2 linked regions of the Stegostoma tigrinum genome follow. The protein of the gene in region 2 interacts with the protein of the main gene of each other region in a pairwise test. Links are inferred from orthologs where the notes say so. Each region holds a gene or a part of one and is shown on either strand. Other genes may lie near its edges.

Region 1 (15,800 bases), on a different chromosome or scaffold from region 2:
ACACCATGGAAATATTAAGATCGTTCTCCTTGTATTTAGAGGTTTAAGAAATCCTCAGTACACTGCTACAGCAGACTGACCAAGACAGCATGTTACAGAGCAGACCAGACCCCCCACAAAATATTTTAAGACGGTAGCCTTGATGCTAACTACTACTTATTTTTTAAAAAAGGTAGATGTGAACTGTGTGCTCCAGATGTATGGCGATTAGTCAAACTACTCACCTTTAAACAGAACACAATTTAAATACTCTAGTTAAAGTACAAACAAAAGAAAAGAGGAATTTAGACTAACTTAACTAATGGGAAACTTAACCAAATAACAGGTACAAGCACCCATTACTAATTAAACGTTCCAGTATAGTAACATCCCCAAAACACATCCCTTGGCAGAAAGGTAAATTTAGACAGATTCTTACATGCAATTCTCCAATCCAGAAGAGAACAATATCAATAGAGATTTCAGAGGAAGTAGCAATTAGAAATCATTTACTGAAGTTCCAACTCTGAGACCCAAACAGTTTCTTACAGCTACAACTAAGAAAAAGAACTAGAAAGACTGATCTGAGAGAATTGGCAACCACCTTTCCATTATTAAGGTTTTAAAAAAAAACCTAAAAGCCTCCTAAGCTATTCACTTAGGCCATATCCAGTAGCCCATTCAACACCTCTGCCTTTATTGCCCCTCTTCAAATAAAAACAGACACAGACACAGACACAGACTAACCCTTTTAAAGTGACAACATCATTGCATATGTATGCAATAGGCTGAATAGTCACCATCTCAGACATATCCCCGCAGCATATCTTCGCAGACATTATCCACTCAGGTTCTGGAATGTACTCATTTTATTAGTATGCAAAATGCCATGGCAATGATATCTGTGCTGGCACACCCACATTCATTAAAATCGGAGTCGTGCTGGTTGTATATCTTCTGCATGATGAACTGGGCAATGTTCTAAGGAAGTGTGCACATTAACAGGTATCTTAATTATATCATAAATGAAAATCAAGTAAAAGCCCCCAAATTAAAACAGACCAAAAGATAACTACAACTATTCATTTACTTTGGAGTACAATGGGTACTTTTGACTTTTGATATGTTGTATTAGAAATTGACTGACCTGGCCTACACTGATCTTTGCATAGATAGTAAATTATGCTGCCAAAAAAAAGGGCATTTTTGTACTGAGCGAACCCAGTATAGACGAAAAAAAGTGTTTTGTTCAGGAATTTTTTCACTGCAGAAGCTTGTGGTACTCCTATGCGTGTAATGAGCTGGTTAAAAAAAAACAAAGTACCTTGTTCTCGCACTATTTTCAGCTGTGCATAAGGCAAACTTTTAAAATTAATAATTCGTTTACAATTTATTTGCAAGTATAAATTATTTCCAATTAAGATTTCAAAATTATGTTTCTCCCAGCAAATTAGTATTCATTGCATTTTCAGAATGCCAGTGTTCCTGAATACATGTGTGTACTTGGTCTTTTACGTAATACTCCAGCTTTCTACCTAAAGTGGCTATAAAGTAAGGAGCATGAATTCATGCACGTAAGTTTTATTCTGACATCAAATGACCTTGACAATCCAGTGACAGCTTTACGAATCAAAGTGGACACCTTATAATGGCACAAGCACCTTCCAGGAATTTCAGCAAACAGAAGCTAAATCCTCAGATGAATTTCTCTGCCAACCACAGGATCATGGAACATTTTCGATAACCTACACTTGTTTGGCCAAGATTGGTTCATTTCCACATAGACTATGAGAATAACCAAGAATATTTTGATTGTAAGTAACCCTAGGTTAGACCATAAAACATACACTCACCATATTAAGGATTACACAAGGTATCACAAAATGTTCTTGGAAACTTATTCCACCAAGTAAGAACACATCTGATTAAATATGGTGAAATTATACATTCAGGAAATACATCTACAGGTGGCAACGTGCACTCTACTGACTGACCAAAGTTCTTTTGACAGTACCTTCCAAACCTGTTATCCCTACCATCTCATGCTCAACAGATGCTTGGGTAGAACACCAGGTCCAAGTTTGTCTCCAAGTCTCATACCATCCTGACTTGGAAATCTATTACCATTTCTTTACTGCATCAAAAGACTGTGATCAGCCTCCACAATCAGCACTGCATGCACTATAGCTATCCAAGGTAGCTCATCATTGCCTTCTCAAAGGACAAGCATGGATGGGCAATATACATGAATTTGCAGTGCCGTTTAACTTACGTTTTAAGAAAAGTGATTTTGAAGCCTTCACTCTTTTTCAAAAATAAAGACACCACGGTATCTTTGATTTAATTGGGGATAAAATTCATCACTTGTGACCAGTTTTCACTTTATCTTCTGGTCTATAGGAAGCAGCTGGTCTTTAATTTCTATCATTCTCTTGTTTCAAGAAACAAAAGCTCTTGGCCCTTTCTGTTCATAAAAAAGTTAAACTGAGCATTAAATCTGGATAACTTTGAAATTACACTTCCAAAGAAGCAAAAAGTTGATTTTTAAAACAATCTATTCCATATCATCCTGTAGGCAACATTTGATCTTCCTGAAACTGTGAAGAGGGTGCATACAAAATTACTTTACAAGAAAATAGGATTGTTGTGACAGAATAAACAAACAGTCATATATAAAAAAATGCAATTAAGTATGAATGTTTTAACATTGAAAACATTGACAAAACCAGGCACACTATAAAGTTCTTCTTGGGTATATGCAAGTTATTGCACACAACAATGCTCTCAGGTTTGGCATGTAGCCATTGACTCCACGCAGAAATTTAAACACTTGAATACATGATTGCACAATATAAACTGTTAGCAGAGATGACCGATAGTCAGATCACTACAACAAATTTCCAAGTTAACTTCAGAATTTTTCTCCCCAAATTTGCCGTTGTCAAAATTAATCGCCTAACAATTAAGGGGGTGTTGCAATTTTTGCTATTGCAGAAATACCAAAATACGTCTGGGAAACACAGCATTGATGACAAACTATTTAAACATGCCCTACTTCTTCCACTACACTATCAGTATTCCCAATAATTGAATTCTGCTGCAATTTAATATCACATTAGTTTCATATTTGAATACAACCAAATAGTCAATTCTGTAACTTTCTTCCTCTCGCCTCATTAAAGAATTCAGTTCAAGATAATTTTAAACTCTTTGCCCATCAAAAGACTAACATAACTTGAGTTATAGTTATTCACACAAAACACCAATAAATTACAGTATCAGTCTACCTAGCTCCTTTTAGGATCATTAATGTCCTGTCTAAAAGCCCAACTATTAACAAAAACTTGTCAAGACATTTCCCAGTCTCCATCTGCATCAAGTACTTTCCACTAAAGTAAAACAAAAAATTATACTGGTCTAAGGAGCACAGGGTTTGCAATAAAGAAGTCAGCAAACTTCCTGAACATAGAAATTTTTGGCAGGATCCTTGCTTCTAACAAGCTATAGGAATGAACTGGCATAACTTGAGAGCTGAACCGATTTTTTTAAAAAATGCCATTGAATAAGTAAGTGTTACATAAATACAAAATCCACTTTAAGTGAGCAGTCAAAATATTGCCCCCAAAATGTATGGTGTAACAAAGTATTTTGAGTTAAATTTGAAAATGTATTGATTGTGTATATTAAGTGACTTGTTCCAATCCAGGGAGTTGGTTAGTTCAGTGTGCTGAACAGCTGACTTGTGATGCAGAGTGATGCTAACAGTATGGGTTCAGTTCCTGCAATGGCTGAGGTTATCATGAAGGACTCTCCTTCTCAACCTGTCTCCCTAACTAAGGCATGTCGACTCTTGCGTTAAACAAATCGGCTGTCTCTCTCTTGAATAAGATAGCAATCCTATAGTCTGGTATGTCCGTGACTATTTTATCTTTACTTCAATACAGTTGCAAGCACAAAACCACCACAAAATGGTGAAGCCATCAACAAACACATACAGCTAGATCCTGTATACACTCCACTGCAAAAGGAAAACTGGAAGTGAGGTGATCCAACTCAACGGACACCAGAGTTTAAACACCAGGTGGGAAAACCTAACAGCGCTTCATTGGAGGCTGCACTGATGTTACCCAGCAGGGTACCGAATCGTCTGCAGAACAACGAACCAGCTCAGTGAGCCAATCAACCACAACATCCACAACCTGAGCTACAAGTCTACTCAAAAACCTTACAAAGCCACGTTGCAATTGGTTTATCAATAAAATTAATCCAAGAAAGGCATATTACAACATTGTTAAAAATCAAAAGATTCATGTCAAAGGTTCAAAATACTACAAACTAAGCTAATAGTATAACTTGGCATTCGTATTTACAGAAGTTCAGGCTGCATCTTAGAACAGATAGCCCAATATTAAAAAGTGCCCAAAATGCACCAGACAATGCATTTAGTAGGATATGTTGGAAGAAGAGAACAATCAATGTCCAACATTTCCGAAATGCCATGCAGTAAAGTTAAAAGTGATCCAGGAAAAAGAAAGAAAAAAGAAAAAAGGAAGTCATGACAGACAAGTTCTCAAAATAATCAGGCCTCAAAGAGGTAGAATCCAATTTTTTCAAGCCACACAAAAGGGCTACTGCTAGCTTCAAAGTCCAGGATATAGGAGATCATTCAGATCCCAACAATCAGCTCGATGAGACAGCCAAACTAGAGACTTAGTGCTAACATACAACTTAGATGAAGTGAAATCTATTCATAAATGTATATTATGTCATACAGTAAGCAAAAATCTCAAGTGTAAACAATACTCAAGTAGTTTACAGTCATCGTTTAGATAGGATATTCAACCAAGATGTCCACCATTGTTTGGACGTATCAGAAAATAAAATAGTGGCTATCATCCCATAAGACCAGTTGGTTCTATTATATTATATTATACTAGATTCCCTAGAAGAATTCTCAAAAGTAAATCATATTCAAGATGCGTTATAACTGAAGTTATTTCAAACTTCATTTTACAAATGGAGATGCAGAGTTTGTTTCCCCCCACGCACCAAAGCAGCAGAGGCAACTATGAAACATACTTAGAAATCTATTTGGTTGATATTCTCCATCCCTCACCCCTCCCACTCCTTTCCATTTACATTCCTAATAGGATACATTAGTATCAACAATCTGCCCTCATAGCTGTACCATTTAAAGCTGCAGCTTTACATGTATACAGCACCTGCACAACTCTACAATTTGGGTTCAAAAAGGCACATTAAGCTTAAAGTTAAATAATCAAATAAGGTGGCAGTCAAGCATTGCAACTAACAAGCAAAGCTCTACTTATTGATATTATGGTTTGGGCATAATTCGATTGACATTCACTTATAATTGATGTCTCTAAGATTGTTATGTTTTGAGACTGCCTTAAACTTAAGGTAAAATGAAGGGGCCATATGATCTGTTTTGAAATCTGCTGATAGCAAGCAGTTTGACCGGGAGACATTAAGTGTGGGGGGGGGGGGGGGGGGGGAAAGCCTCATTGCTGTACTTTCCCAGTAAAACGCAGCAATGTGTTTTTAAAAACTGTCTACAGAGATGTTGAGACACTTTTGGTGCAGGTGGGACTTGGAGAGAGCGGCGTCAGCCTATGTTCAAAGAGTGGATAGAGGGAGGCTTAAGTCCCAGAAAAGTATGAGCGTAGTAAGCAGATATGCATTATACTGTATATTCGTATTGAAGATGGGTGACCTTATAGAGATCTATAAAATCGTAAGAGGTGTAGATAACGTAGATAAGGCAACAGATTTTCCCTATTGGAATGGGTGTCTAAAATTAGGGAGCATAGGTTTAAGGGTCCAGAAGGGCAATTTTTTCCATACAGAAGGCAGTGAGTATCTGCAAAGGCCTGCCAAAGATAGTAGCAGAGACAAGTACAGTTTTGTCATTTAGGAAACATTTAGACAGGCACGTGGATGGGTTGGATAGGCATAGAAGGATATGGACCAAATGGAGACTAATGGGACAAGTTTAATTGTTAAGAGTGGGCAGCATGGATAGGTTGAGACAAAGGGTCTGTTTCCATGCTATAAATTTCTATGACCCTACTGCAGAAAATTAAGAGAATTAAGAACAGATAATCAGCACTTCTAACTTGATTCAAGCCCCACATGATGTGTGTCTGAATGGAAATAGGCTTCAACAGGGGAAGGGTCCAAGTTATTCCTGAAAGTTCTTGACATGGCTAGTCTATCAGGAGAGTGAAACCAGCCACCAGAAAGCTGTTATAGTTCACATAGTAATATGTGTGAAAGCTCATTCTGAGATTACAGACTGAATTCATGAGGAGTTCAAAGCTTGAAGATTTACCCAGCTGGAATCAAGAACCTCTAAAGGGAAAACCTTATTGTGAAAGGCAGCTCACAGCCTGAGAACTTTTCAGCTCAGGAAAAGTACAGAAATAAATACAAACTTGGACTGGCTCCAAGTGAATGCCTACTTAAAGTTCAATATAATGTAAATGGAAAGTGTGCTTTTGCCTTTGTTCTTTTTGGCTTTTACAAAGTCCTAAACAAAAAAGTCTTTACTCTTTTGTTACAGGACAAGCCTTAAAATATGCAAACTTGTCAACGTTTCAACTATTAACTGAAAGTTTAAATGTCTTTTAGAAAAAAGTTATCGCTTGCTCTGGAAATTTAGCAGTTCAGATTTGCTCTTAAATGTGTTCACTGGTAACTTCGAATCTAAAGCATATATCATACCTCAAAACTTTAAACCAATGCTTTTAAAAGGCAAACCAAAGATGACATTAGCCATTTTGACACGTTATGGCATTGCACCAAGCAGAAAATCGATAATTAGCCATTGTCCATGGGGAACCATAAGTATTTCTATCCGCTACAGAGGACTTGCTTTGTTTTTGATTAGAAGGAATTAGGAGAGGGCTGTTGTAGAAAGGAAAATGGCAACAAATACAGTCAAATGAGAGTACTGTAAGGTTGAGTAACAACTATAATGCCTTATACAGGTGCTGTTCCATCCATAGTACCGTTTATGAATGCTAACTAGATTTTCATTTAAAAATTATTTAAAAAGACAGTAAACGTTTCATAGATACAGACAAAATGTACCAACGCTAATGCAGTCGCTTGAGCTGGATCGAACATGGAATTCATTCATCTGGTGGTTTCATGGTAAGTTCACCCAACACGGCCACCACCCGAAAAACAGTACTTAACTTGGTGCAATTCGATGCGTAAATTCTCCTACGTCTATACTGGCAAACGCATATGCACCGTCGATGGCCTGGACTTGAGCAACTTGGTAAAATCAATTAAAAATTCCATTTACAAAAATAAGAGAAAAACTAAAGAGTCCTTTATAGCGTTTTAAAGTGTTGCATCTGACATGGACGTCGGTGTTTCTCGTCACATCTAAAGCAACAAACTGAAAGCTTCTCTGAAGCAGGGGATACAGCGCAAGAGGCAGAGGGAACAGGATTTAGTTCATTTAAAAGCGGCAAGAGTCCATGAAGGCCTAGCCAAACACAACCGAGCCTAATCCTAAGTAATTCTTAGGACAAAAATACACAAATCCCGGGAGAGCAACAGCAAAAAACCAGCCACTCTCTTTCACCGCTCTGTTCTCAGAGGTGAGAAACACTTAATACCTTTTTCTAGGCCAGGGTTACAGCAGCTTCTTCCCTCATTTCTGTCTCCCTCTCTTGCTGTTTTTTTATATCACCGCTGGGATTTTTTCTAAACCTATTTCCAATCCAGCACCAGGGCAACTCCTTTGTGCATGCGCATTACCTGCCGACCGCCAGAGTCCACCGAACTTGCTGGTTTGGCGGGACTCACCGCGCGGATTGGTCCATTCTTCGGAAACCTCCACCATTTTGGAGCGTTGCTAGGGACGACCGCGACTCCGATTGGTTATTTGAACCGTCAATCAGGATACCCCCACCACAAGTTCGGCTGAGCAGGGAGAGGAAAGTTCAGGCGAAAGTAGTTGCCAGATGGTGGTCTCGCTGTAAGCGTCTTGTTGATAAGAGGCGGATAGTCCGTTTGCGTTTGTTCGGGGTGGGGGTGGGAAGAGAAGAGGCCTCTAGCAGTATTACAGCAGGACATGTTTTAGTGACGAAAAAATATAAAAATGTGGCGTAAAAACACGGAGACAAGGCGGTCTCTGACGTCAGATCGTCTCATGGAGTCTGCCCCTTTTTAATTTCCGGCTGAGTTTTTCATACGAAACCCGTGTGTGTTTCGCCGAAATCGTTAGTTCCGGCGGGGGGGAAGGGGGTACGTGTGAACCAAACGTTTCACATAGGACCATGATTTTTTTTGCACTCTTCAGCTTTCAACTGCTGGTCTAGCAATGCTAGCCTACTTTGCTGTCCCTCAAGCAGCTCGGGGCCGGCAGTCCCACAGCCATGTTTGAAAGCGACTGCAGCCTTGCGGATCAATACGGTTACAGCGTGAGAGAATGTACATCATTTATGCTAGTTATAGCTGGGAAGATGCAGCAATGGGCAGTTTAAAAGTTCTGTTTAGATATGTTACGACATGGCTGGAGCAGGTGGGACTTAACGGTAACGACAGCAGCCTGTATTCAGAGTGGATAGAGGGAGTCTTAAATACCAGAAAAGTACTGAGCGGATCAGGTTGTGAATAGATATGAATTACATATGTTCTTAATTCATTACTAAATACCTCACATTCCTGTACGGTTAGATTCATGAACACATTTCTTGAACTCATAATTATTAAGTTCCATCATCAGGTAATAAATTCTGCTTCTGTATCTTGTCCCATCAAGTCTGCTCCACTATTGCATTTGCTTTCCTGGTTGACAACTGCTTTTTAACCTTAGAATCCCGAAATAGGACTCTCAAGTCCTTGTGTGCTTCAGATTTCCAAAAACCTTTCCCCTTTAGAAAACAGTATGCTTATATTCCTACCAAAAGTACATAACCTCACTTTCCCCCATTGCTTGCCATCTGCTATTTCTTTGCCCATTCTTGTAGCCTATCCAAGTCCTTCTACAGCCTCCCCACTTCCACAACACTACCTGTCCCTCCATCATTTGTATCATCTGAAAACCTAGCAAAATGCCCTCCATTTCGTTGTCCTGATCATTAAATATGTCAAAAAACGTGGAACTGAAAAAGCACAGCAAGTCAGACAGCAGCCGAGGAGCAGGAACATTTTGGGCTAAAACCCTTTGTTAGGCTGAAACCCTTTGTCTGGATCCTAAAACATTGACTTGCCTGCTCCTCGGATGCTGTCTGACCTGCAGTGCTTTTCCAGCTCCACATTCACTGACTAGCTTCCAACATCTGCAGTCCTTACTGCCTCCAAGTCGTTAATGTGTAACATGAATAGGTGAGATCCTAAAACTGCTCATAATTGAATGCTGGTTACTATTAACCAATGTTTTAAAAAACATTCAGTAAAAATACACTACTATTGAGTGGTTGGAGCGGACTGTAGACAGCTACAGCAGTAGTAATATACACATGACAAAAAAAAGCTGATAATGAATACTGGAGCCTTGCAAAGTTAGGCACAAAAGTCAAAGTTGCAAATGTAAATACAAACACAAGCTTTGACAAAACTGTCACCTGTCCTACTTTCTCCTTTAACTCTGCTGTTTTTTTGTCTAATTGTTTGTTCATATAGCATCTTAGTACAGTTGTTTCTATAAAAAGCCCAAGCTGGTGGAGGATGGGCAGCACTGGAATACTGGAGTGTCAGAGCAGCAAAAGTTATAGATGTGAGTCGTGGCAAATAAGCTGAAAATGGGCAATGACACAAAAAAAAGACAAATCCGGGAGATAGAAAACAAGGGATCAGAAGCTCTGCGCGAGGTCAGACGGGATGCACAGATTCTGATTCAGCAGCTGATAGATATCATATTACACCTGCAACCAGAACCAGTAGTTTTAATAGCTTTCCTTCAACTTTTAGCTGGCTCGATTTACTTTGGTGTTATCAGAAATTAAATACAGTAGTTCATATTGATTAACATAGGCACTTTATTAGCAATTATAAGCTTACAATTTTACAATACGCATTATTTTGACCACAAAATACTGTCAGTCTTGCCTATAATTAGTGTTTCCTTTTTAAAACAATGGATTTTCCCTTAAATGGGAAACAATACCTTTTACATTTAACATTTCATGCAGAACATATTAAAACCTTGAAACAGGTAAAGTCCATAACAGGAAATTAAGATATGTTCAAATGAATAAAACTTTCAGTTATAGGAAAAAAAAATCCCTCTTAGGGAGTTGTAACAATCTCTTGTCAGCTTCAACTATCAAATGTTCATAGTTTTTTTTAATAAAATGTTTAAAAGGCCACATTGGTATTGACCATCAGCTTTCTGGAGTATAATGATAGGAACAGTTTGTTTAGTATACAGCTGCACAAAAGACAAAGCACTTTGGTAGCCAAACATTCATATTCAACTACTTTGCAAAAATCCATAAGTTCTGAAAGACTGATCAAAATTATCTGGAAATTAGCTCATCGCTGTACAACATTTTGTTTCATCTTCCTCACAAATAAGGCAAGAAGGGTGTTAAATGGAGGAGGGGTGCGGGGTAGAAGTCAGACAGCCAACTTTTCCAACATCAGACTCCTCAGCAGTTATGTCTAAGGCTGGGTTCCCTTTACAATTATCTAGCTAGAGATTGCTGTATGATGGTGAATTTTCTTTGTTCCTGTTCAATCCATTACTTCATTCTAAGTGTGAAATGTTTAACAGGAAACCCAATAATCAGAAGCATATCAAATAAAATTTGAACAATATTTCAATTGCTGTATCCAAAGATAATTTTTTTTCCAGTTTTATATTTAACTGTGATAATCAGGGGTTAATCAGTCATTAAGTAGACAATTGTTGCATTAAGATTGCAAAAGAAAATGAATCTGAATTCAATTTTTTTTGCACAAATATTACTTATTAAAAGTTACATCTACAAAAGCAATTTTAAAACTTTGTGGCTTTAAAGAGGAATGATAAATATTTTGAAAGGATGAATGGTCTATATTGGGATTAAAAATCCTTCAAAAAGCCAATGGAACATCTTATTTAAATTTATTCTCCATGCTTTGTAGTTTTAACAAGGCCTTTTCTAAACATCCAATTCCGAACACTTGGATTAAATTATGCAATTATTTAGCATGAAAGTCAAACACTGGAGGGAAATGTCTAGTGCAATAGGATTAGGGTTAAAGTGAATTAGAGCCAATATTTGCTTCAAAGAGAATTTTGATTTTAAATCTTTAGAAGTATTTATTTAAAATAAAATTAGACAAATGAATAAAAGTACAAATCAAAGAATGACTAGATTAGTTGAGAATAAAAAAGCACTTTTCATTCTCACATTTCATTTACGTATTAACTTCAAATAGACCTGCATATTATACGAGTAAATACATTCTGAAGACTTGTCAAACAAATTGACAACAATCCCTTTTGTTTATTTGTTGTGTTTGGCATTTTAAATCAAATTGAACACAATACGTAATACATATTAGAGCTATGTTAGTATCTTACGACCAAGACATTTGAGCAGAACATATATATACATACACACACACACGGACAGATCATTCAAACTGAAGTTAGTTAAAAAAAAATTTGCCTGGGAACTACTCAACACTTCTGTCTAGTCTGTGCTATGAAGGTCACAAATAAACATACACTCTTAATTACAAAAGCAGAAAATAGCAAACCAGCATAACATATCTTCAGGAAATGGAGCAATGTGATAGTGTTATACCATATTCTCATGCAAACGAAAATTTTATGGATAACTTTTCTAAAATGAATGCTTCAGAGTCCAGGTCATAATTTTACATTTCACACATCAAAACAAATTAGGTTTTAAGTTTAATACAAAAAAAACCTCAACGTAAAAATAGCACCCAAAGAACGTATTCTAAAGTACACATTTGGTCATGCAGGTGCTTTAATCATGCGGCATGTATTAAAATGCTTGATTATTTTTAATTCAATTCTTTCAATTTCTTAAAATTCTGGCTAGCTGTAGAATGTAGTCTTTCAATCAGCTAAAAAAGTGCATTTTTTGCAAAGTAGGAATGTCAAAACATGTTTTTTCCTTCCTTCATTCATTATAACTCAACCTCATGGAAACAAAGTGTTTGCAACTCTTTGAAAAATGGAGTATGACTTATTCTCATCAAGCTGGGAATCCCATTGTTTGGCTTGCCAAAATATATCAATAGGATTTTTAGGAATTACAAGGTGTCCTAGCTTGTGTGATTCAGAAGGATGTAAAGCAGCACAATGATCATAATACACTAGTTGTAGAGTGCTGTACAGAGACCAGGGAGTATTGAACTAAATGCTGAAGTGACCACAATGAATACTTCTGTCAGACTGAAAAATGGGTATTTCGTTCACAGTCATGGCTGTGTATTTAAAAAGTAAGTCTATATGTAAATAATAAACACATATGTATATGCATTTCCAAATAAACACACCAGATATGAAACAAGGCATCTATATTGCATAACAAATGTCTATGAGAAAAAAAAATCACTCAGCTCTTTTTCAAGGGCTTAAATAGTCTCTAATTACAGTAGATGCAATCAATCTCATAAATTTGGTTCTAATTTAAATTTCTTGCAAATGAAAGTAATGGACTTTTTAATAAGAGATAATGGGAACTGCAGATGCTGGAGATTCCAAGATAATAAAATGTGAGGCTGGATGAACACAGCAGGCCAAGCAGCATCTCAGGAGCACAAAAGCTGACGTTTCGGGCCTAGACCCTTCATCAGAGAGGGGGATGTGGGGAGGGAACTGGAATAAATAGGGAGAGAGGGGGAGGCGGACCGAAGATGGAGAGTAAAGAAGATAGGTGGAGAGGGTGTAGGTGGGGAGGTAGGGAGGGGATAGGTCAGTCCAGGGAAGACGGACAGGTCAAGGAGGTGGGATGAGGTTAGTAGGTAGCGGGGGGTGCGGCTTGGGGTGGGAGGAAGGGATGGGTGAGAGGAAGAACCGGTTAGGGAGGCAGAGACAGGTTGGACTGGTTTTGGGATGCAGTGGGTGAGGGGGAAGAGCTGGGCTGGTTGTGTGGTGCAGTGGGGGGAGGGGATGCACTGGGCTGGTTTAGGGATGCAGTAGGGGAAGGGGAGATTTTGAAACTGGTGAAGTCCACATAGATACCATATGGCTGCAGGGTTCCCAGGCGGAATATGAGTTGCTGTTCCTGCAACCTTCGGGTGGCATCATTGTGGCAGTGCAGGATATATTTTTAATAAACCACTTTTCTAGAATATGTCAGTGTGTGTAGGAAAATATCGTCAAATTAAAAGACTTCAGGTATAAATCAAAAATAGGTATTTAAATAACTCAAAACAATGTATGGACTTCAATGCTATGCAAAAACAATCAGTTATGGACTTCAATCTTAATTTTGAAGGTATTATTAAAGCTAAAGATAAATAACTTGCAGAATAAATCAACTAAAAGCATCTGTTTAATGCACATCACTCTACACGTTATGAGTATTGAGCATCAATAGCATGTTTTGCCCTAACTAAAATAAACAGCTAGAGTTAACTGCAAGCTTCAAGTCCTAGGTCTCATTAACTATGCAAATCCTGCTGATTCAATTTTAAGATCATATTAGCATACCGGACAAGAAATTTTATTTTGCATTTTTTAAAAAATAAAGTATCGCTGTGCATCTTGCTAGTTGAAATAGTTTCAGTAAGAAATGGAGTTCACAGCTCTGCCTCTCATCTGCTCATATTTGATGACCTACTTCAAATCAATTACATTTTCCAAAATTAAGATGACTATTTTATACATTCCCAATTGATTTCCATAGGGTGGCTTTTGGGTTTGTTTTTAAATCCCATTGCAAGAGAATTAGCCTGTGTAAATTTGCACCTGATACATATGCTTATTCCAAAACAAAGGTTTGTAAATAACTATTGCTTTGTAATAATTGTTCGATGCAAAAAGTTCATTTTTGTTTCAGTACTCATACATTTTTCAAAACTGTGGCAAATTTTGAAAAAAATGTGCATGTTGCTTACAGTGTCAATAAAATGAGTTTTTGTGATGCTTCAATAAACTAAAAAGGGATGTTTTGCACAGCTTAAAACATGGTGGACATTAAACTGATTTCACCCACAACCTAGAATGTTGAGATATGACTGCAAGCATTCTGATGACCTTCAGTTCTCCTCAGTTCCTGTATTTTAAGATTTCAACCAAACAGCCTTGACAAAGTACGAGTTAACTGATAAATCTTCCCCATTAAAAAATACTGTACGGCCTACAGGTCTTTCACCCATTACTCAGCATCACTGCAGACAAGATTTTACATAAAATGTCCTCGTCTGCTCACTGGCTGATTTTAGCATGTCATCTTCAAAGGCTAAAACATATAAATTCAAGTGCCAATAATTGTACAACTAATTCTAATTTTAACCTTTCTGGGAATTAGCAAAATAAGTTTTAATTGGGACTTAAGGGAGAACTGTACGTGAAAAGCTCATGCATTGAAAGCAAACCTGCGATATTATATGCCTATGGTAACTAATATTTAAACTGAATTTTTTTTTATAATCCAAGGGTCCATGTGCTGTCTACTGAATTTTCAGATGCATCCTTAATGAATAAATTTTACATCGTCATCATTGTCATACCTGCATTTCAACTACGGCAATTAATCAACTGCTTGAGCATTGATAAAATTTATAAGTGCATAAGTCTCTATATTAATGTATTAAAGCAATCCAAGAGATCAGTCATATTCGCGTTGACCAAATATATATTTAGATCCAATTGAACAATGAAATGGAAGTTATTCAGGAAAATATTTTAGTGTTTGTTCTTTAAGCTTTCTCCCTTCCAAAAGAAATAAATTTGATAACAGATATTCAGAGGCTAATGTTTCTGTAATTCTCCAAATTTGAAAACAGAATCTCAGTGACCCAGTGTTAATTGGAAGTTAACAACTGAATAACAACTAATAACACAACTTGCAATGGTGTAGATACTTAGGATAATTTCATCATCAAAAAAAAACCAAGTGTTTAAGGCAAAGGTAATTTCTTCCTGGACAACAATGTCCCCAATGTTGAAAACTTCTCAAAGTACAGATCATTTCTAATTAGAAACACTATAAAGGCACACACCTTATTTTGGGAGCTGCAGCGCAACATTAGAGGTAAGTACACTTCTGAAAAGGGTCACAGCAAACTTAAATAAAGTTCAATACTTTATATATGTTCAGTACGTATAAGGATTTTTTTGGTCCTTTAATTGTTTTCTAATTGCAAGCAAACAAAATAGATCTTGAAAGATATGTGAAAGAAACAGCTTTGATATGGTAGCTGCCATCATGTTGGTCCATTTCTTCTTTTCTTACATAACTACATTAAACGTGATCAAGTAAATTAATTGGTAAGTAAAACCTTACTCCATGATGTGTCAATAGCAGGTATGGTTTCCATGTGAAACAGCACTTGTGTCAATGCCACAGGGAACTACTGATACTTGTCCTATCTAGTTTCTCCTAATGCCCACCACATACCCTTAACACAACTGATTTGACAAAAATAATCCAATTCCTTCAAAGTAAAAACTGAATTAATCAACAAAGGATGAACAAGTTCCAAAAATTTCTTCTCGTTAATTTTGAAAATGCAACTATCTTTATCATTTTCCAATAAACAGTAAACATACTACAGATTAAAATATTCCAGCATTGAATGAGACAACTTGGATTTGTTTTTGATATGGCACAGACAAAGTTTAATTAACTTCATGACAGTTCATAAGT
Region 2 (15,772 bases):
GATTCCAGGGATGGCGGGTCTGGCATATGGAGGAGAGATTGACTAGGTTGGGATTGTTTTTGCAAGAGTTCAGATGAATGAGGTGGGATCTCAGACTTAAAATTTGAACACAACTGGACAGGGTAGATACAGGGAAGATATTCCCAACGGTTGGTGCGCCCAGAACCAGGGGTCACAGTATGACGATGCGGAGATGATTTAGGACGGAGTAGAGGAGACATTTCTTCACCCAAAGAGTGGTGAGCCCGTGGAATTCATTACCGTAGGAAGTAGTTGATACCAAAACAAATGAATGTATTCAAGAGGTGATTAGATATAGCACTTGGGGTGATTGGGATCAAAAGTTATGGGGAGAAAGCAGGATTAGGCGCTTGAGTTGGACGAACAGCCATGACCGTGATGAATGATGGAGCAGGCTTGAAGGGCCAAATGGCCTCCTCCTGCTCCTATCTTCTATGTCTCTATTCAGCAAAATGAAGAAGTGGTTTCTCCTGACACGTATCAAAAAAATTATCATTTTGAGCACCTCAATAAAACATCTCGATTTTTCAATCAATTTCTTGGATTTTTAATTAAAACCTCTCAAAAACTTGATCTCAACCCCAACAAATGACTTTGCAAACACAATCCTAATTGGGAAGGCCACAATTTATCAAATACCATTGCTGCTTTCCCACAGCTGTCAAAATGAAAATGCCACATATCCCATTCTGCAATATTGGAAACTAAAGGATTTAGAAAGGATTCTGAGGGATAAGATTTATGACCATCTGGAAGAGCATGGCTTGATCAAATACAGTCAACACGGCTTTGTGAGGGGTAGGTCATGCCTTACAAACCTTATCGAGTTTTTTGAGGATGTGACTAGTAAGGTTGATGAGGGTCAAGCTGTGGATGTGGTGTATATGGACTTCAGTAAGGCATTTGATAAGGTTCCCCATGGAAGGCTCATTCAGAAGGTCAGGAGGAATGGGATACAGGGGAACTTAGCTGCTTGGATACAGAATTGGCTGGCCAACAGAAGACAGCGAGTGGTAGTAGAAGGAAAATATTCTGCCTGGAAGTCAGTGGTGAGTGGGGTTCCACAGGGCTCTGTCCTTGGGCCTCTACTGTTTGTAATTTTTATTAATGACTTGGACGAGGGAATTGAAGGATGGGTCAGCAAGTTTGCAGACGACACAAAGGTCGGAGGTGTCGTTGACAGTGTAGAGGGCTGTTGTAGGCTGCAGCGGGACATTGACAGGATGCAGAGATGGGCTGAGAGGTGGCAGATGGAGTTCAACCTGGATAAATGCGAGGTGATGCATTTTGGAAGGTCGAATTTGAAAGCTGAGTACAGGATTAAGGATAGGATTCTTGGCAGCGTGGAGGAACAGAGGGATCTTGGTGTGCAGATACATAGATCCCTTAAAATGGCCACCCAAGTGGACAGGGTTGTTAAGAAAGCATATGGTGTTTTGGCTTTCATTAACAGGGGGATTGAGTTTAAGAGTCGTGAGATCTTGTTGCAGCTCTATAAAACTTTGGTTAGACCGCACTTGGAATACTGCGTCCAGTTCTGGGCGCCCTATTATAGGAAAGATGTGGATGCTTTGGAGAGGGTTCAGAGGAGGTTTACCAGGATGCTGCCTGGACTGGAGGGCTTATCTTATGAAGAGAGGTTGACTGAGCTCGGTCTCTTTTCATTGGAGAAAAGGAGGAGGAGAGGGGACCTAATTGAGGTATACAAGATAATGAGAGGCATAGATAGAGTCGATAGCCAGAGACTATTTCCCAGGGCAGAAATGGCTAGCACGAGGGGTCATAGTTTTAAGCTGGTTGGTGGAAAGTATAGAGGGGATGTCAGAGGCAGGTTCTTTACGCAGAGAGTTGTGAGAGCATGGAATGCGTTGCCAGCAGCAGTTGTGGAAGCAAGGTCATTGGGGTCATTTAAGAGACTGCTGGACATGCATATGGTCACAGAAATTTGAGGGTGCATCCATGAGGATCAATGGTCGGCACAACATTGTGGGCTGAAGGGCCTGTTCTGTGCTGTACTGTTCTATGTTCTATGTTCTATGTTCTAAAGTTAACACGCTACACAATATCCATTGCACGATAAAAGTCAAAATACAGCATGACGAATGCAACTGCTGGCAAAACTAGCTCCAATGATACTACTGTTCATTTTCCTGGATCAATTAAACTCACTTAAGCTGCTCACTACTTTCTCAAAAGTAGAAACTTATCCTGGCAACAGGTTTGAAAGATATCCACAGTCCCCAGAAAAGTCCCCTCTTTTCTTGACAATAATTAGTCACCGTTATTTACTCGGTTGCTGCTATTTTGTATGAGAAAATATTGAAGGTTTATCCATCTTTTTATATAATTCATACTTGAACATGTCCACCCTTCTAAAACAAATAATGCATTGAGTCAAGATCTGGTCACAATGGAGAATGAATACGGTAGTCTCTATGGCATTATATCACCATTTATACACAACAGCATAGGAACAGGATCATAGATCCACCAAACTTGTGCCAATTCCTAATCCTTACTTAGACCCATTACTAACTATCCATGCACAGTATCTATCCTGCTGTTTGCCTCTCACTCATGTGTCTGTCAAGATAAGCCAGAAGCATTGCTAGTGGGCCTGCTTCCACCACTGCCAGAGGTAGTGCATTCCAGGCATCCTAAAATGAAAACTTTTCTTGATAAACAACCCACCCTTCTCACTGTGAACCTCTGCCCTCTTGTAGTTGAACTTTCCACCCTGGGGAAAATACCTCCGGCAATCCACCTTATCTACGTCTAGAGAATTGAGAGGCATTGATCAGGTCACCCCCTCATCTCCCATCTTTTCAGTAAAACAATTTTGAGTTTATCCAACTTTTCCTCAATTGCAAACCTCCAGACCAGGCAGCATCATTTCCAAAGCATTCATATACTTCTGCAAGTGTGGCGATCAGAACTGCACGCAACATTCCAAATATGACCTCAAGTTTTGTACAGTTTTAACATAACCTGCCTATCTTCATGTTCGATGCCCCCAGTCATTGAAAGCAAGCATCCTGTATGCCATCTTGACCATCTTATACACCAGGATTGCCACTTTCAGGGATCGGTGGACCAGTATGCCCAGATCCCTTTGTACGTTAAACGTTCCTGAGGGTTCACACCAAATATAGTTTGCACCTAAATTTTATCTTCCAAAATGCATCACCTCTCATTTGTCCAGATTTTCCATCTGCCATTCCTCTGCCCAAAAACCAAATCTGCAACTTATATCCCACAGTATCCTCCTCACTACCTGAAATTGCGTCAAACTTGGCATCATCCGAAAACTTACTGATCAGATAACCTATAATTTCTTCCAGATCATTTAATTATATTACAAAGGTGCCAGCACTGATCCCTGCACAACACCACTAGTCACTGATCTCCGTTCTGAAAAGTACCCTTCCACTGCTACTGTGTATAACCAAGCCACTTTTGTATCAATCCAGCCAGTTCACCCCTGATCCCAGGAGACTATGTTTTGTACCAGCCTGCCATGAGGACCAGATCATATGCCTTACTAAAGTCCATGCAGACAACATCCACTGAGCTTCCCTCAAATCATTCTTTGATTTACATATTAAACTCTTAAAACAGTGAGAGAGCCAGAATCACCAAATCCAAGGTCCACTATTTAATTAAGCACTCATCCTGAAGTCACTAGCCTGAACTATATAGATTTTAGAAATCTTACATGCTGTCAGGTTAGGGTGGACAGAAAGCGGCAGGACTGAATCTATCCAAATCATTGACCAGTTTCCTATTCAGGCAAGCACAACTGCACTTGACTGAATTGCCACTCCTTGACTCAAAAAGCACATCAGGCTTCACAATTCAATAGCCATTTCTTGTGAGAACTGGAGTGCTAACATATACCTATACAAATCACTAATTTTGCATGGGGAAAAAAAAGTTTTAACACTTGAACCCACTTGAAAAGTTGCACACTTCTAATTTGAAATTCTGATTGCAGTGCTGCCTTGGTAAAGACTTAAGTGTTAAGTACACAATTACTGCTTCAGTTAAGCATGTTAAGGGCATTAAAATTAGCATGTATTTATTGAAAATAAACTACTGTAACCATAGATACATATTAAATGTCTCATATTTGAAAGGGAAAGAAGAGAAGAGTGTGGAACTTAACTCAGGAAACCCTGAAGGACCAACTCTTGACTCCCTTCAGTGCTGTTATGCAAAAAAAAAATCAAAATTTACATCAAAGCCGGCCACACACTATTCTACCTCACAACCACCTCTTGAAGTTCTCTACTTTCTTTGATTTGTCACACTGCTTGTTTGACATTGAATTTTGGATGAGCAAACATTTCCTTCAATTAAATGTTACACAACTGAAGTCACTATCTTTGGTTCCCACAAACACCTTTTTTTGACAGCCAGTTTAACCCTTCCAACTGCCTGCAGAAGACGGCCATTCACAACCTTAGCTGTACTTGATCCTGGAGATGAATTTCCGATTACATAGGTTTACTATCACAAAAATTTCAACCTCTGTTAAATCACTCAATTTCAATCCTGCCTCAGTTCACCTGCTGCTGAAAAGTCAATTTTAGCCTTTAGCTTTTCTAGATTTACCTACTTTAACCCTTGAATGACTAGCCTCCAAACTTACAATCCTACAAACACATCTGTTGCTTGTATGCTGACCATGCAAATCTCTCCTTCATCCCTGTGCTAGCTGACTTTCATTGCCTTTCAATGAAACACCTCAGTTTGAACACTCATTTTTCAAACCTCTATGAGATCTGGAACATTGTTATTAATCATTCACAAGATTTAGGATTGGTGGCTAGGCCAGCAGTTATTACCCATAAGTATCACCCTGAGGAAGATGGAGTTGCTTTCTTGAACTGCCTCAGTCCATGTGTTGTAGGTACATCCACGATGCTGTTAGGGAGGGATTCCAGGATGTTTACATAGTGACAGCAAAGGAACAACTGCACACACCCAGCCAAGCACAAACTGTTGCATCACACTTCAGACATGTGAATAGGCAGTGGAAGGCAATGGATGACTTACATGCTACAGAATTCCCAATCTCTGACCTGTTCTTGTAGCTATGTTATTTATATGGCTGCTTCAATTCAGTTTCTGGTCAATGGTAAATTCCAGGATGTTTATCTTCCAAAATGCATCACCTCTCATTTGTCCAGATTATTAGTATTATCACCACAGAATTCTGGCACTAATGAGCCAATCAATGTGGCATCCAGCATTACAAGGCCAAAGGTATGAATGCTCTTCTAATTCTGGCCTCTTGAACAACGCTAATTTTACATGTTCCAAGATTAGCAGACATGCTGCACCTCTGTTCCACTCCTGCTTATGTTTGTCCTGAAAAACCCCCCTCTTTGGTTAAGCATTTGGTCATCTGCTCTGATACCTCCTTCAGTAGCTTGGTGTTGTTATTGCTCCAGATCTTGTACAGCAATTAATGCAGCATGTAAATGCTGGTGGCTGTTGCTGCTAACTTCTGGCAGTTACTCTACCTCCACCCCAAATGTGTTCAAAGAGCAGGCAATATTTTACCTCAACATTTCAAACATAAGTTTGAAGACCAGAACAAACATCATTCCCTTAGCCAAAGGAATCTAACTTCCATCAGGTGAGTAGAAAGAAAGCAGCAAGATAACACATAACTACAATATCAGCGATAACACAACATGCAGCTGGAGCAGCACAGCAGGCCAGACAGCAAAGGTGCAGGAAAGTTGACTTTTCAGGTCAGGACCCTGATGAATCAGGATAACAAAGTGTGAAGCTGGATGAACACAGCAGGCCAAGCAGCATCTCACGAGTCTAGGCCCGAAACATCAGCTTTTGTGCTCCTGAGATGCTGCTTGGCCTGCTGTGTTCATCCAGCTTCACACTTTGTTATCTTGGATTCTCCAGCATCTGCAGTTCGCATTATCCCTTATGAATCAGCTTTGTTTTTGTCTCCTCCTACAATACCTCATCAACTAAGAACTTTTTAGCCTTCAGGTACAACTTGAATCTTAGGTAAGTCGCAGGGTGCTTTAGTGATCAAGGCAACTTCAGATTCTTGAAATACCTGCAGTGCAAAAACTTTGGGTTTACGTGCCCATTTTCAGGACAGACTTCCAAGTTCAACAAAATTGCCATTCCCCGATCAGTCTACCAGAAGCACACTTTGTGCCAAGGAAGGATCCTTCGCCAGCGTCCCTTCTCACTTGCAGCTCCCACACAAGAAAAGTGTTCTACTCCCCAAAGCTTCAGGGGTAAGTGTGAGCCAAGTAAAAGCTGGTTATGATCTCAAATCAAATCAGACCCACAGCACAATACCACGGGATTATTCCTGAACAAGTTGTATACACAACACCAATACCCAGTTTCCAATTAAGTTACTAATTTACAAGTGTGACTACACTGCAAAAGCAATTAATTGGCTATAGTACTTTGGGACATCCTGATGTTGTGGAAGGCATCAAAATGACCTTTCATAGCCAGACCCATTTAACAAAAGACTCTGAACAAGACTAAGGTTAATACATTATTACTGGTGAGATGCTCATTTCCTATCACGCAAGAATCAATTTAAAACTTAGACTGCTTAACTAACTAAATTTCGGAATGGTAGATCAATTGTCACCTGCCATTGTCCACATAGCTACCACCAAGATCATAAGGTTAAAAGCATATCAACCTGAACAAATCAATCCACAATAATTTGCTTGTCCAATCTTCTCTCTACATAGAGAGAATTACAAAAAGGCACAAAGATTTAGAGGACATATTGCAGGATTCAAATTAGTGAAACTAAACTATTGCATATTATACTATGGAAACAGGATGGCACAAACCATGAGCAGCAATACAACGAACATTTAGCAAACTTACGGTAATGACAGCTTTGCTTAGACAGATTGATCCCCTACAACCGTATTCGGTTTCATCCTCCGATTTGTAGTAACTCAAAGTGTTGGTTTTTAAAACCACCCATCGGTCCTGCCACCCATGGATATAGTTGGTCCACTGAAAAGACGTTAAAACAAATTAGTAATACGATACTAAGATATACGTTAGATTGGATTCTACTACGCAGAACGTTCAAAATGTTTCATTTCGTATAAAACTGATTTATAATCCCTTGGAAAAGCGCCCCTCCACTCAGCCAGCCAGCCACTCGATTCAAGTGTAAACGGCAGAGGGCTGAATGTATTCCTCACTCTAGCGTCGGTGTTGCAACAAAACGAACACGCCCGCGTTCACAGTAAAGTTTTGATGCAAAAGCAAAAGCTCTGGCATATCGGCCAGCACCGGGTCCACGAACACTTTGGACTCGGGGTTAAAGAGAGCACATACACCAGAAAACAACTTTAACTCCAGCACACAAACACTACGCACGGAGCTGTCAAAAAAACACTGCTTTCGTTATTTTAAAGATACCAAGCTGTACACAACAAGCAAGAGTGAAGTTCTGCGTTTGTGACGGCTCCCATTTTTCATAACTTTCCCTCTAATATTACACCATCTGTAATTAATCAGCTAGTGAGTAGCTGGGACTGAGCGACAGGCCGCGGAGATCCGGCCGTTGCCTCTCCGTTACCGGGGGACAGGGAGAAGCTTGCCAAGAAGTTTAACGGAATATCAACGGGGTCCCGGGGGAGCAGGTCTCACAGCGGGATGAAGACTCTGATTGACTAGGCAAAGCACTTCTCCTCGGGGGGTTTGGGGAGAGGGAAAGCGTGGGTTGCACAATCCCGACGGAAGGGAGTTGAGGGTGGAGGAGGAGGACTTAAGGACAAGTTCTGTTAAACGAGGGAGTCCGGGGTGGTGGAAGCCGCGGGCCCCAGCCCCGAGCTCACCTTGCTCAGTATCCCGCACAGCTCAACAGGCGGCCCGGACTCGGTGTCCAGATCCTCTTCGGAGGAAGAATTCCAGCTCTGGTTATCCGACATTGAGAGAGACAGGAACGAAGTGACGGTCCGATTGGGGGAGGGAAAAGGGGAGGCAGGGGCGGGAAGGGAAAGGAAAGGGAAGGCACTAACAGCTCCGGCTCCGGTTGTTGCTTTTCCACTCCTCACTGGCACTTGAAGCTCAGAGCACCACCATTTTGGTGACGTCAGCCTCCGAGTGCTCGGACGAGCGGGCACGCGCAGAAAGGGGGCGGCGCCGGGAGCGCGCCGAATTGTGAGGGGGCGGGGAACGCGAGGCGGTGCTGAGAGAGCGGTTGCTCACGCTGGACGGGGGCGGCGAGGCACTGGGCATTTATTATTACAACGCTAAGTGAAAGTGCCGGCCACTTTTCCCTCGGTGAGGGAACAAGGAAAAGATACGTGTCATTCCCCCAACCCCTTGTCACTTTTATCAACCTACAAGGAGCTCACAAAAAGCCGAGCGCAAAATGCCGTTGTTGTGTTGAGGTGAGGTGAGGAGGGGGGATTGTTTCTGTTGGTGGGAGCATCAAAAACCAAGATGACCACCCGGTTGTTGGCAAAAGAAGTGGTATGAGGAGAAAAAAAGCTTTTGGACATTTTTGGTGCTGTGACAATGTAATGCCTTTGGATCAGTTGGCCCACGTTCACGCCTTATCAGCACCAGAGTTATGTAATAACATCTCTGAACAAGTTGATTAGAAGAATAGGTTTAAAAGCGCCAAGGAGTATAAGGAGACAACACAGAGCGGAACTGGAGGAACACAGCAGGTCAGGCAGCATTAGAGGAGCAGGAAAGTCGACGTTTTGGGCGGGGACCCTTCTTTAGAACTGAGTTTGGATGCTGCCCGACCTACGGTTTCCTCCAGCTCTACACTGTTGTCTCTGACTCCAACATCTGCAGTTATTGCTATCTACGAGACATATCAAGATATGGGCAGAGGTAGTTGGAACTGCCGATGCTGGAGAATCTGAGGTAACACGGTGTGAGGCTGGATGAACACAGCAGTCCAAGCAGCATCAGAGATGCAGGAAAGCTTGATGTTTCCGGTCTGCACCCTTCTTCAGAAAAATATTTAAAGATATGGGCAGATGGGATTAGAATAGCCAAGCGGTTATTTTTCAACTGATGTGGACTGGATTCGCTAAAGGGCCTTTTCCTATGTTGAAGACCTCTGTGTCAACAACACAGCCAGGAGATAGGATATGGAATTTGCTTAGTGAAAATGGTAGTTTTCAAAAGAGAACTGGAGAACTATCAGAAGATGAACGATTTACAGAGCTATGGCGGGAAATGGTGCTAAGTCAACTGCACTTACAGGAAGCCAGCACAGAGACAATGGGCCAAATGCCTTCTTTCTATGCTGTCCTTTCTGTGATTTGCTGTCAATTAGTTTTTCGGTCTCTACTTTGGGTTGTGGAAGGCTGTGTTTACTCCATAAATGCTCACCTTTGTTTTGACCGATAAAATTCAAAGTATTGCAAACAATAGGCAATAGGCAGGGAACAAATACAACACTGCAAACAAATTCTGTGTAGCAGTGTTTCTATGAAAAGTGTCAATCAAATAAATGGACAATTTATAAAACTAAAATATTACAGATGCTGGAAATTGGAACTAAAAGAGAAGATGTGGGAAAGTTTCACCAGGTTTGTCAACATCCTTGCGGAGAGAAACAATGAAGGTTTCAATTCGATGATCTTTCATCACACCTGTGAAAAGTTGAAGAACCTCAGGGGTGTTACAGTGCAGAAGAAGGCCATTCAGCCCATCACATCTGCACCAGCTCTCCAAATGAGTACCTCATCTACTACCGTTCTCCTGCCTTCTCCCTGTAACCATGTATGTTCTTCCTTTGAAAAGAAACTATCTAATTCCTCTATCAATTGAATCTGCATTCACTGAGTTTTCAGGCAATGTGATCCAGATCCTAATCACTTGCTACATGGAAAAGCTTTTCCTCTTTTTTTTTATTTCTTTTACTCGTTACTTTTAATCTGTGCTGTTTCATTTTTGATCATTTCTTGAATGGCAACATTTTCTCCCTAGTCACTCTCTAGATCTCTCATGACTTTGAATACTTCAATGAAGTTTTCTCAAGGAGACAAGTCCCAGATTCTCTTATTTACATGGCTGAAGTTCTCCTCATCCCTGGAATCATTCTTGTAAACCTCCCTCTCTCCAATATACTGTCTCTCATGTAGTCACATCCTTTATAAAGAGTAGCACTGAGACCTGGATTCAATACTCCACCTGAGGCTAAATTAGTGACTGATATAAGTTGAATGTAACCTTCTTGCTGTTGTACTCTATGCACCTATTAGTAAAGCCCAGCATATTGAATGCTTTATTAACTGCTTTTTCAATCTGTTCTACAACACTTAATGACTTATGCACCCCACTACTTTTGTTCTGCGCACCTTAATTTTATGTCATCTGCATGTTCTTCGACAAAAATGTATCATCTCACTCTCCTCTGATTTGAATCTCAATTGCCACTTACCTGTCCACACCACCGACTTGCCTTTGTTGATTTAAAGATCTGCACTATCCACAAAGTTTAGATTCTTCCAGATTTTGTCTCATCTACAACTTTTAAAATTTTGCCCTATAAACCAAAATTTGAATTATTAGTAAATATCAGAAAGGGTAATGTTCAAAACGTTGACCTACAACAAATGTTCCCCAAAAGAATCATCATTAACCAGTGATAGTTGGAACTGCAGATGCTGGAGAATCTGAGATAACAAGGTGTAGAGCTGGATGAACATGCAGGCCACACAGCATCAGAGGAGCAGGAAACTGGAGCACCTGGAGGAAACCCACACAGACACAGGGAGAATCGGTCTAGGCCCGAAGCGTCAGCTTTCCTGCTCCTCCGATGCTGCTTGGCTGCTGTGTTCATCCAGCTCTGCACCATGTTATTCTTAACAGTAACCAGTGTTCTTTTTCCTATCATTCAGCCAATGTTAGTTCCATGTTACAATTTATTCCATGAGCTCTAACTTTGTTTAAAAGTATGTTGTGCTGCACTGCATCAAATATTTTCTGAAAGTCCATGTACACCACAGCACAACATCAGCTTAACCAATTGTTTCATTTTTATACAAACAGAGAAAATAGGAACAGGAATAGGTAATTTCACCCTTCAAATCTGCTGCATTGTTTGTGATCATCATGGCTGATCACCCAACTCAATAGCCTGTGACTGCTTTTCCGACATATCATTTGATCTCTTTGTCCCTAAGTACTACATGCGTCTCCTTCTTGCAATCATACAATATCTTGGACTCGACTGCTTTCTGTGGTCGTGAATTCCACAGGCTCACCATTATCTGAGTGAAGAAATTTCTCCTCATTGCAGTGCTGTGTTTAACCTATAATCTTAGACTAGTTCTGGACTCCTGTATCTACCCTATCTAGTCCTGTTAGAATTTTACAGGTTTCTGTGAGATTCTCCCTCATTCTTCAGAACTCCACTGAAGGTAATCCTAAATGATTCAACCTCTCCTCAAATGTCAGGCCTGTCGTACCCAGATAAATCTTCACTGCCCTCCATCTATAGAAAGATCATCCTTTCTCATATACAGAGTCCAAAACCACACATATATTTCAGATGTTGTCTCATAAAGGCCCTGTACAATTGCAGCAAGACATTATTGCTCCTGTACGAAATCCTCTCACCATTGAGGTCAATGCACTATTTACTTTCTTTAGCTTACTGGACCTGAAAGCTTACTTTCAGCAACTGGTGTATGAAGGCAGTTTATATCCATACAGATCATCGTCTGCTTTCCTGTTTTTGGTACCAAAATGGACAACCTCACATTTATCAATGTCGTACTGCATCTGTCATGCATTTGCTCACTCGCTTCACTTGTCCAAATTGCACCGAAGGATATCTGTGGTGCGGCACGGTGGCTCAGTGGTTAGGACTGCTGCCTAACAGTGCCGGCCCGGGTTTGATTCCACCCTCGGGTGACTGTCTGCATGGAATTTGCACATTCTCCCCGTGTCTGTGTGGGTTTCCTCCAGGTGCTCCACTCCCACAGACCAAAGATGTACACGCTAGGTAGATTGGCCATGCTAAATTACCCTGTAGTGTTCAGAGAAGTGTAGATTTGGTGGGTTTTTGGGGTCCGGGTCTGAGTGAGATGCTCTGAGGGTCAGTGTGGACTTGTTGGGCCGAAGGGCCTGTTTCCACACTGTAGTGATTCAATGATTCTCAGCATCCACGTTACTGATGTCTCTCCTATCCTGCTTTGCATCACCTGCAAATTTGGAGATATTACATTTAGCTCGCTCATCCAAATCATTAATATATATTGAAAATAGGGGTCCTAGCAGTGATCACTGCGGTATCCCACTAGTTGCAGAACAAAACCCGTTTATTCCTATTCTTTATTTCCTGCCTGCCTTCCAGTTTTCTATCCATCTCAATATACTGCCCATTATCCCATATACTTTAATTTTACACACTAATCTCATATGTGGGACTTTATTGAAAGCCTCTGAAGGTTCAAGTAAACCACTGGATTCCCCATTAATTCTCGAAAAATTTAATAGAATTGTCAAGCATGACTTTCCTTTCATGAATCTATGCTGAGTCTGTCCAATCCAGCCACTGTCTTCCAAATACCTAGCTGTGAATCCATTTATAATGGATCTTAGTATTTTCCCACTACTGACATCATGCTGAATGGTTTATAATTCCTGGTATTCCTGCTGCCTCCCTTTTCGAAATTTCTCAAAACTAGCAAAGACAAAGGAAACTGAATTAACTCCATAGAGGTTGGTATCCCATCACTAAATCACCCTTTATTTACACGTGGAGAACCCTTGACACTGGTTCAACTCCCTCAGCCCCAGCTCTGAGAGTAAACAGAACCTCTGACACTCCTGTTTATTTCTTTCAGCCAGCACTCCCCGATTGGACCAGATTAACAGCCCCAGTCAGGGAACTCATACTTAATATAGTCCACCTCGCCGACCTTCTTATAATCACAACAGAAACAAAGTTGCTCCAGGAGTCATGATCTAATATAGTTGAACTGAAATTCGAGTCCAGAGTCTGGAAAGTACCCATGCAAAAGATTAGGTACCATCCCTCAAGATTGGTTTGAATTTGCAAACCATATAAAACTCACATAATTAATATTATTGTTACCAAACATTCTGTTTCCCTCCTATGAGGAAAAATCAATGTAGTTCCTGTTCTGCTACTTCTGGTTCAAAGGTTTGAATATGATCACTGTGCCACAAAAGCCCTAACTGGTAGAGTTTTTACGCTTGATTGTGTTATTATCATCTTTTCTACCTCCTAGTGGTCTCTTTGTTGACTTACTGTACATTTCAAGCTTTCAGCATCAGTTTTCTTAAAAGCATTGAATGTAATATGTGTCTATATATGCTGGAATCAGCCAGGGATAACCTGTAGGTAATCTATTCTAAAAAAAAAGTCAACCCAGAATTTTCTACAGTGGAGCATATAAAGGTTAATGCTACAAGTTGAATCTTTTTCCTCATCCTTTCCTCAGTTAGTTTTGTGCTCCACATGAGTGTAAGTGTAGGCTGATCCTGTGAGGACAATGGGGGATCTGGGGCCTTGGTGAACCATTGGACAAATAAATTTATTCCTTATCCAGTGAAACTTAAGAACGGAGAAATGACAGTGAATAATGGAGAAGCAGATGGGGTAAATTAGAACCAAACTAGATGCAGATAAGTGGAAAGAGAAAAAAAATTAAAATTGAAAAAAAGAGACATTTAACCACAATTTACTACCTGCTGGAAGGAGAGTCCACAGTTTAAATTATCACTTTTCAGGGCCAGCCAGATGATAAGGCAAAACATGAACTTAAATATTGTCATAAAAGGGACTTTGAAATTGCAGCCCCTAATCTTTTAGGATGAGCATAGTTCATTTTTACAAATCAAATGCCAGCAATTTCTTGACAATAGTAAGGTGGTGAACTGTGAACTCTGCCAATGACCACAGTCATTGTGGTGTTAATTCATTTAATCTAGTGCAGCAGAGATAATCTAAGTGAGTTCTCTTCCTTCAGAGAGGAAAACTGAATTTGGGTTTCTGCTCCTGACATATCCATTTATTTATTTGATGAAATATGCTAATATAGACGTTGGGTGATATTACATTGACGCACAATATATAGTTCACCTTTAACAGCCATGTCCACATTTATACTTCATGTTAGCCTCCTTCTATGTTTCCTAGTTGTATTAGGTTAATGCTGTTTATTATCACCATGAAACTGCACACTAAATTTAGACCATTTTGCTTTAACCACTTCCTGTGGCAGCGATTCCACATCCTTGCTATTCATTTGCATGGGAAGTGTTGTTAGAAGAGCATGGGCAAGTTAGTTAAGTGTTACTTATTGAATGTAAATATTGCTGCAGTTTTGAATTTGTGGAATGATTGAATGTTTGTGCTGGATGTGGTGCTAATGAAGCAGCTTTGTCCTGAATCAAGATGAGCTTTTTGAATAAGATAACAAAGTGTGAAGCTGGATGAACTCAGCAGGCCGAGCAGCATCTCAGGAGCACAAAAGCTGACGTTTCAGGCCTAGACCCTTAAGAACGGAGAAATGACAGTGAATAATGGAGAAGCAGATGGGCTAAATTAGAACCAAACTAGATGCAGATAAATGGAAGAAAAATCAATGGTGGAAAGAGAAAAAAATTAAAAGTGAAAAAAAGAGACATTTAACCACATGCTAGTGGGAACTGCAGATGCTGGAGAATCCAAGATAACAACCCTCTCTGATGAAGGGTCTAGGCCCGAAACGTCAGCTTTTGTGCACCTGAGATGCTGCTTGGCCTGCTGTGTTCATCCAGCTTCACACTTTGTTATCTCAGACATTTAACCACAATTTACTACCTGCTGGAAGGAGAGCCCACAGTTTAAATTAAATTATCACTTCTCCAGCATCTGCAGTTCCCATTATCTCTGAGCTTTTTGAATGTTAGTTGGAGCTTCACTTGGCCACACAATGCAGGGTATTCCATGACACAGCGACACTTATGCCTTGTCAATGTGTCAGTCTTCAGAGAATTAGGGGCAATGTATTTGCTGTAGAAATCCTAACCTCTGACTTGTTTAGCTCTGATGAAGTGTTATGTAGACTTGAAATGCTAGCTCACTGTCTTTTCATGGATGCTGCCTGACCCGGTGTGATCTCCAGCATTTGTTGTTTTCCTTACTTTTCCTTTTCTTGTGATTCCTATGTAGTGTAATTCCTGTAGTTTTGGTAGAAGTGGAAGCAAGTCACTGCTATTCAATAGGAGGTGGTAGTGTAGTTGTAGTGTTTCTGGAATAGTAATCTAGAACCTCAGGCCAATGTTCTGGGAACAATGACGAATGAAGAAATTTGAATTTAGTTGAAAATCTGGGAATTAAAAAATGCTAGCCTTATGATGACTATGTAACCACTATCAATAGGTTAAAAAATCCACCTGGTTCACTAATATGCTTAGGGAAGGAAAGCCATTATCCTTAGCCATTATCCTTGACACCAGACCACAGCAATGTGGTTGACTCTCAAGTGTCCTCCAAGCAATAATCAATATATTGCATGAAGGCAGCTATGAGGGACAGATGTACATTGCATAAGCACAAGAGTGAGTAAAGTGGTAAATGGACCTATAGAGATATGAGTAAACGCATGAACAGAGAAGGATGGGAGCACCTGTAATTAAGTGAATGTGAAAAGTGATGTTATGGGTTAGGCTTGAGAAGGCAGAAGGAGGGTGTCAGTGATGTGCACCTCAGGATGTAAATAAATGCATTTCTATC

The links.
Region 1: the proteins of ceramide transfer protein (region 2) and casein kinase I interact in binary tests that used the Homo sapiens proteins (3 or more experiments, as listed by UniProt). The two-hybrid records come from large-scale screens. The link is inferred for Stegostoma tigrinum from reciprocal best matches to the Homo sapiens genes CERT1 and CSNK1G2.

What each region holds. Positions count from the first base shown.
Region 1 is NC_081383.1:18,638,442-18,654,241, reverse strand, and holds the start of casein kinase I, read right to left. Parts: upstream 7,772-15,800; 5' UTR 7,632-7,771; intron 1-7,631. UniProt on the Homo sapiens protein: Serine/threonine-protein kinase. Casein kinases are operationally defined by their preferential utilization of acidic proteins such as caseins as substrates. It can phosphorylate a large number of proteins. Participates in Wnt signaling.
Region 2 is NC_081356.1:105,100,342-105,116,113, forward strand, and holds the start of ceramide transfer protein, read right to left. Parts: upstream 8,163-15,772; 5' UTR 7,980-8,162; coding exon 7,887-7,979; intron 7,054-7,886; coding exon 6,919-7,053; intron 1-6,918. UniProt on the Homo sapiens protein: Shelters ceramides and diacylglycerol lipids inside its START domain and mediates the intracellular trafficking of ceramides and diacylglycerol lipids in a non-vesicular manner.